Linked DNA regions of Xenopus tropicalis. The protein of the gene in region 1 interacts with the protein of each later gene in a pairwise test. Links are inferred from orthologs where the notes say so. Each region holds a gene or a part of one and is shown on either strand. Other genes may lie near its edges.

Region 1 (3,660 bases):
CACATTCCTGCTTACCTGTAAATAAAGGGTTTTATTTTTCCCATCCAGTGTTGCAGTAATAGCAGGAGATTTCATCTGTCTGCATCAAACACAATAAGAGACATAAGGGAAGCCAATTATATTTAGAAAGCAAAATAACCCAGTATCTATCTATCTATCTATGCTTCCTAAAGGCAAAGTTGACCTTTACCATAACTTCTTGAACATTATAGATTAGCCTATTCTATATGAACAGATTTTATTATCATCCACCCTACATTACATTTGTTGCTTATCTTTTTATTCAGGCACTCTTCTTTTTACTTTCAATTGTAGCTTCCAAACAACATAGTTGCTAGGATACCTAAAGCCTAGCAACCAAAGAGCAGTCTAAATTCTAAGCCTGGGAGCGGCAGAATTAAAAAACAAATATAATAAATTGCAAATTGTCTTAGAGTACCAGTTAAGTAGAATGGCTAATTCTAGGCAACTCTTTAATTGGGCTTTATTTTTTTCTTCTTTAAAGTTTCTGACTCTTTCCATGTTTCAAATGGGGGTCACTGACCCCAACATCTAAAATAACAAGGACACTATAAGCCTACAGTTTTATTGTTATTGCTACTTTTTATTGCTCATTTTTCTATTCAGGCCCTATACTATTTATATTTCATCCTCTCATTCCAACCAATGCCTGGTTGCTAGGGTAATTTAGACCCTAGCAACCAGACAGCTGCTGAATAAAAAGATAGCTCAAAAAACCACAAATAATAAAAAATGAAAACAAACTGGAAATGATGTCAGAATGTTACTCTTTGTGTCATGGAACAGTTAATTTAAAGGTGAACAAGGATGATCAAGCACTTACAGTGATGTGTCATTTGTCAAATAATCCAGCACCTCCTGCAATTTGGCTGAAGAAGGAAACTGGATGTTCTGTGGGAGTTGGCTGCAAGCGGGACAATTTTCCTGTCAAACAAGAAAAGAAATGTTTATAGTTGAATCCGTTTAGACTGCTGCTGTGACGCAGAACTTCACCCTTATCTGCTAAATGAAAGGAACTACGTGTCCTGGAAAAGTGCGTTATTTTATATGATGGCAGATGGGGATCACTGACTGCTGAATAATTCCTGTCCGCGACCATGTTTCAACTGGAGGTGGCTACAGGAGAAGGCGGCTTTCTGCAATCCTTAAAGGGGAACTCCACCCAAACACAACTTAAGCTTTGTGTAAAGTAAACATAATTTCAAGCACCTTTGCAAAATAAAGCAATTGTAAAATATGCAGCCTTTTCATGATTGGTAATGTGATAATCTGGTTTGGAACAGTTCCCTAAGCCCCGCCCCCTGTTCCCCTGCTGGTCTGGCTGGCTAATTTGTGACTCAAATAAACTGTAACAGTAGTCGCCTGCCCTCAGCCTGCCTTCAGCCCGCCTCCTCCCAATCCCACAATTCCCTGCTGCACACGTGATGTCAATAAGGAAAGGAACATCCCAGTGCAATGCATTGTGGGTTATGTAGTTCCTGCATGCTGCTTGTAAGCTGGGGAGAAGTTGTTATAATTTGTCACATTCGAAATGGCCTTTCCGTTATTCTGAACTTTCTGGATAATGGGTTTACAGATAACAGGCCCCATACACGTATTGGACCTGTTTTCCAGAATGTTTCTCCATAACTTAAGTCTACTAAAAAATAATTTAAACATTAAATAAACCCAATAGGGCTGTTCTGCCCCCAATAAGGGGTAATTATATTTTAGTTGGGATCAAGTACAGGTGCTGTTTTATTATTACAGAGAAAAGGGAACCATTTAACCATTAAATAAACCCAATAGGGCTGTTCTGCCCCCAATAAGGGGTAATTATATCTTAGTTGGGATCAAATACAGGTACTGTTTTATTATTACAGAGAAAAGGAAATCATTTAACCATTAAATAAACCCAATAGGGCTGTTCTGCCCCAATAAGGGGTAATTATATCTTAGTTGGGATCAAATACAGGTACTGTTTTATTATTACAGAGAAAAGGAAATCATTTAACCATTAAATTGTAAGCTCTTTTGGGCAGGGCCCTCTTCACCTCTTGTATCGGTTATTGATTGCTTTTATATGTTACTCTGTATGTCCAATGTATGAAACCCACTTATTGTACAGCTCTGCGGGATATGTTGGCGCTTTATAAATAAATGTTAATGTAATAATAATGTAAATTAAATAAACCCAATAGGGCTGTTCTGCCCCTAATAAGGGGTAATTATATCTTAGTTGGGATCAAGTACAGGTACTGTTTTATTATTACAGAGAAAAGGGAATCATTTAACCATTAAATAAACCCAATAGGGCTGTTCTGCCCCCAATAAGGGGTAATTATATCTTAGTTGGGATCTAGTACAGGTACTGTTTTATTATTACAGAGAAAAGGGAATCATTTAACCATTAAATAAACCCAATAGGGCTGTTCTGCCCCAATAAGGGGTAATTATATCTTAGTTGGGATCAAGTACAGGTACTGTTTTATGATTACAGAGAAAAGGGAATCATTTAACCATTAAATAAACCCAATAGGGCTGTTCTGCCCCAATAAGGGGTAATTATATCTTAGTTGGGATCAAGTACAGGTACTGTTTTATTATTACAGAGAAAAGGGAATCATTTAACCATTAAATAAACCCAATAGGGCTGTTCTGCCCCAATAAGGGGTAATTATATCTTAGTTGGGATCAAGTACAGGTACTGTTTTATTATTACAGAGAAAAGGGAATCATTTAACCATTAAATAAACCCAATAGGGCTGTTCTGCCCCCAATAAGGGGTAATTATATCTTAGTTGGGATCAAGTACAGGTACTGTTTTATTATTACAGATAAAAGGGAATTATTTAACCATTAAATTGTAAGCTCTTTTGGGCAGGGCTCTCTTCACCTCTTGTATCGGTTATTGATTGCTTTATATGTTACTCTGTATGTCCAATGTATGAAACCCACTTAGGGTACAGCGCTGCAGGATATGTTGGCGCTTTATAAATAAATGTTAATGTAATAATAATGTAAATTAAATAAACCCAATAGGGCTGTTCTGCCCCCAATAAGGGGTAATTATATCTTAGTTGGGATCAAGTACAGGTACTGTTTTATTATTACAGAGAAAAGTGAATCATTTAACCATTAAATAAACCCAATAGGGCTGTTCTGCCCCAATAAGGGGTAATTATATCTTAGTTGGGATCAAGTACAGGTACTGTTTTATTATTACAGAGAAAAGTGAATCATTTAACCATGAAATAAACCCAATAGGGCTGTTCTGCCCCAATAAGGGGTAATTATATCTTAGTTGGGATCAAGTACAGGTACTGTTTTATTATTACAGAGAAAAGGGAATCATTTAACCATTAAATAAACCCAATAGGACTGTTCTGCCCCAATAAGGGGTAATTATATCTTAGTTGGGATCAAGTACAGGTACTGTTTTATTATTACAGAGAAAAGGAAATGATTTTTAAAAATTAGAATTATTTGCTTATAACGAAGTCTATGAGAGATGGCCTTTCTGCATAATGGATCCCAACCTGTATAAAATAAAAAAATATTTTTCCCCCCCAAAAAAAGCTTCCTGCTGCTAGTAGGGCAAGACATAAAGGACACGTAAAGCCCTGGAAAAACACTACTTTTAATTAGTCTATCAGTATT
Region 2 (3,660 bases), on another chromosome or scaffold:
TACAGAACTCCCAAAATCTTGATTCAATACAATTCAATTGATTCAATAATACTTATTTTCCAATTAATAAATAAAATATTTATGTCTCAAATAAGAAAGCCTTAAAACCTAGACAAAATTTCCAAAGAAAAAATACCTGTGTACAAAGTTACATGTTCCATCGATAGGATCAATAATCCAGGTGGGGCTGTCAGTAAGCACGCATTTAGAACCTGCAGACGTAGATTCTTCTCCAATAAACCTACACATGGAGAATAGGCTGTTAATCCAGAAAGCATTAACTGATGTATCAGCAACGGATAAACAATGGATATAACTTCTTAGAAGTTTGGATAAGAAAAATTTTACTTGCACATTTTAAGAGAAGAAAAGGAAAACAAACCCCAAGATTAAAATAATTCTTAGATGGAAATGGTTTTGGGTCAATTTGCTGTTTTGCCCTTAGGTTCATTCTCAAATCTGACATTTGGACAGAAAACGTGGGAAGTATACATTGTGTGTCCAGGACCTGGCCTTGAACTAATGCTTTAGATTACTTTGGGTGTATATGATGCACATTTATATTTATGTACATTAACAGTTTGTATTTTCTTTGTTATGTTAGGATATTTCAGTACTTCAAATACTTTGAAAATGTATACTTAAAGATATGAAGGTAAGTGACCTAAAGATAAAGGCCTAATTTATTACCCCCTTCCCTGTAAATTTATCACATAGCCATGGTGATTATTTAAATGACACCTTACGGTTATTCAGTTTAAATAAATCATGCTGTGAAAAGTATGTTACAGTTGCAATACTTAAATAAACTGCTACACTTTGTTTGCAGTAAATCAAACCTTACCCTTTTACAGTGATGTACTAACCACTGAAACAGAAAATCATACAAACAGCCCGTCATTTTCACAAGTGGGTGATATAAATATAGAACAGGAAGGACAAACACACCTACACCAACTGGTGCCTTTGAAACCTAAAAGATACATGGCTCAGCAGTTTGAATAGCAGAGAGGTCTGGGTTTGGTTCATGTATCAAGGGGCAAAAACAGATAATTTGGTGGGATTAGGTTTAAAGGGGAACTCCAGCAAAAATTGTTAAAGAGCCCCACACAACAACAGAGACCCCTAATATACCTATCACTGTAATATGTTTCTTCAAAAAGTGTGAATAGAATTTTTATATGCTGAAATCTGCATCATTTAAAATACAGGCAGGGGAGGAGGGACTAAACATTGATGATACAAATTGTAAAAACAGTTTACAAACAGCATACAGGAACTACATAACCCACAATGCATTGCACTATGATGTTCCTTTCCTTATTGATATCCTGTACAGGGAATTGTGGGATTTGGAGGATGAAGGTGGAGGACAGTAGGATTTTGTGCGAGATATAGATTAGCCACATTTGTGCCACCTAGAACGCTATATTTATTCTGCAGAAAGCTTTACCATACCTGAGTAAACAGCCCTAAAAGCTACCTCCATTTGTTCTGATGGGAGGGGAAAGTGAATTCTTATTGGGGGGGGAGGAGAATGGAGAGAGGAGAGCTGCCCAGACTCTGGCACTGAGAGAGGAAGTCCGATACCAAAGAACATATTTGCACAAAAGAAGAAAGGAAACCCTGTGTTTCTTTTGATGAAGGATTTAGTGCACTAAGAAAACTGAGGTGCACAAACATCATTCTTGTAACCTGAAAAACCTAGCGCAAATCTGTCTGGGAGAATGGGTATTAATCATATGCAATGCTGGTACAGACTTGTTCGATTAACCAGAAATAATTATAGTATGTATGTATGTACTGTATATACAAGTTAATTTAAAATTATAGTGTTATTCAGCACACCCCACTGCAAATGGTCTAGGATAATACCAATACAATACTTTGAAGGCACATACTTATTCTAAATATATAAAGTGGTTATTGCTGGCTCTACGAAATATTAAATGTTTAGGGACTAAATAATTCATATGCAAACATTATATTTCAATTTTTGATGTTTTGCCAACATAAAATAGAGGACAAATGTAAAAAGAAAGCAGGTTGGGCATCACTCATAGCCAGCAGAACCACTGTTTATTATACTCCATAAAGACAGATACAGATTCCATATCATAACAGCAAAATACATTATAGCAATATACCTGTGTAAGGGAAACTTCTCTCTTAGAGCTGAAATAATTAGCTCTTCCACAAAGTGATCAGTCTCCGTTACTAGATCCACCACAGATGTTTTGGTTGAGACCCTTTTTTCTTCAGTTAGAGCTTTCTTTATGACCTGTGAAGAAGCCATAGTCACCAGCATTATACTACTTCATTACACAATAATAAGGCAGGCACAAAGTTAAGCCATGGAACAAGGCAATGCAGGAGAAGGCACAGGGAAGGGCTAAATGAGCTACCTGCAAGGATCACTGTTTTAAAAGTGTCAGGGTGTATGCAGTGCAGTGCTTTGTTTGTATTTATAAAGGGGTTTACAGAAATAAGCCAGCATGAAATAGAACCTTTCACCAACCACCAAAATAATACTGACTAGTACTGAAATGATGCAAGGACACACAGGCACTTAGGAAGCAAACTTTGCATTACAGTGATACAGTAAAGACTTTTGCTTTAGTAACATAATTTTAGTTAAAGGGGCAGCATTAATCCGTGAATATGGTTTGTGTCACTAGAACCTAGGTAGGTCAAATATCCAAAATATACATTATTATACATATACTCGCGAGTCTTTTTCAGCGATTTGCGCGAAATCGCGCCGCCGCGTCTACCATCCCACCGGCGAACATGTAAGTCGCCGGCGGGATGGTAGACGCGGCGGCGCGATTTCGCGCAAATCGCTGAAAAAGACTCGCGAGTATATGTATAATATTGGCAGGGGTAGGCAACTTGCGGAGATTAGTCGCCCGCGAACAGGGACTTTTGCCGCGGGCGACTAATCTCCCCGTGTGCCAGAGCCCTAAACAGGTTAGTGCTCACATTTAAAGAAGCTTCTTGGTAGGTCTGAGGCCCTACCTCACACCCAGGGGACTCCAACTGCAGAGCACTAATATATTGTTTTTATTCTATGCATGGACTGGATGCAATGCAGGTAGCAATGATATTTTGTGTACAGAGATATAGATATATATTATATATATATATATATATATATATATATATATATATATATATATATATATATATATATTATATGTGCATTGGGGCTCATTTGGAGGGGTTGATCTTTAGTCTTTTTTCAACCCAACTTAAGGCGATACGGACATGTTCCTATAACGGTAAGGAACGCATATTACTAATAATACAACTCTATGCTGGTTTAAAGATTGACCCTATGTCTCCCCCAGCCTAGCCGCACTTACCCTGTGTAAATGTGTGCCAGCTACATGGAGAGAAGGGGGCTTCTGGCAGTCACACTAGGCAGTGGGTATTACGATTGTTCATAGGCTGGAATACAAATTTAAACTGTATTCCAGCCTATTAAAGGATTGTGCGGGAACCAATGCTGCATTAATGACTGGCAACTCTATGGGGCATATTTACTAATCCACGAACGGTCCGAAGGTGTCAGAATGTGTTTTTTCGTAATGATCAGTATTTTTGTGAAAAAATTGTATTGGTTCTTCCGCCGTTTACTATCGCTCAATACGAAAAAAA

The links.
Region 2: the proteins of uba3 (region 1) and impa2 interact in binary tests that used the Homo sapiens proteins (3 or more experiments, as listed by UniProt). The two-hybrid records come from large-scale screens. The link is inferred for Xenopus tropicalis from reciprocal best matches to the Homo sapiens genes UBA3 and IMPA2.

Annotation. Positions count from the first base shown.
Region 1 is NC_030680.2:141,994,035-141,997,694, reverse strand, and holds part of uba3 (NEDD8-activating enzyme E1 catalytic subunit), read right to left. Parts: intron 946-3,660; coding exon 845-945; intron 80-844; coding exon 16-79; intron 1-15. UniProt on the Homo sapiens protein: Catalytic subunit of the dimeric UBA3-NAE1 E1 enzyme. E1 activates NEDD8 by first adenylating its C-terminal glycine residue with ATP, thereafter linking this residue to the side chain of the catalytic cysteine, yielding a NEDD8-UBA3 thioester and free AMP.
Region 2 is NC_030682.2:103,845,737-103,849,396, forward strand, and holds part of impa2 (inositol monophosphatase 2), read right to left. Parts: intron 2,282-3,660; coding exon 2,148-2,281; intron 242-2,147; coding exon 137-241; intron 1-136. UniProt on the Homo sapiens protein: Phosphatase that can use myo-inositol monophosphates, myo-inositol 1,4-diphosphate, scyllo-inositol-1,4-diphosphate, glucose-1-phosphate, beta-glycerophosphate and 2'-AMP as substrates in vitro.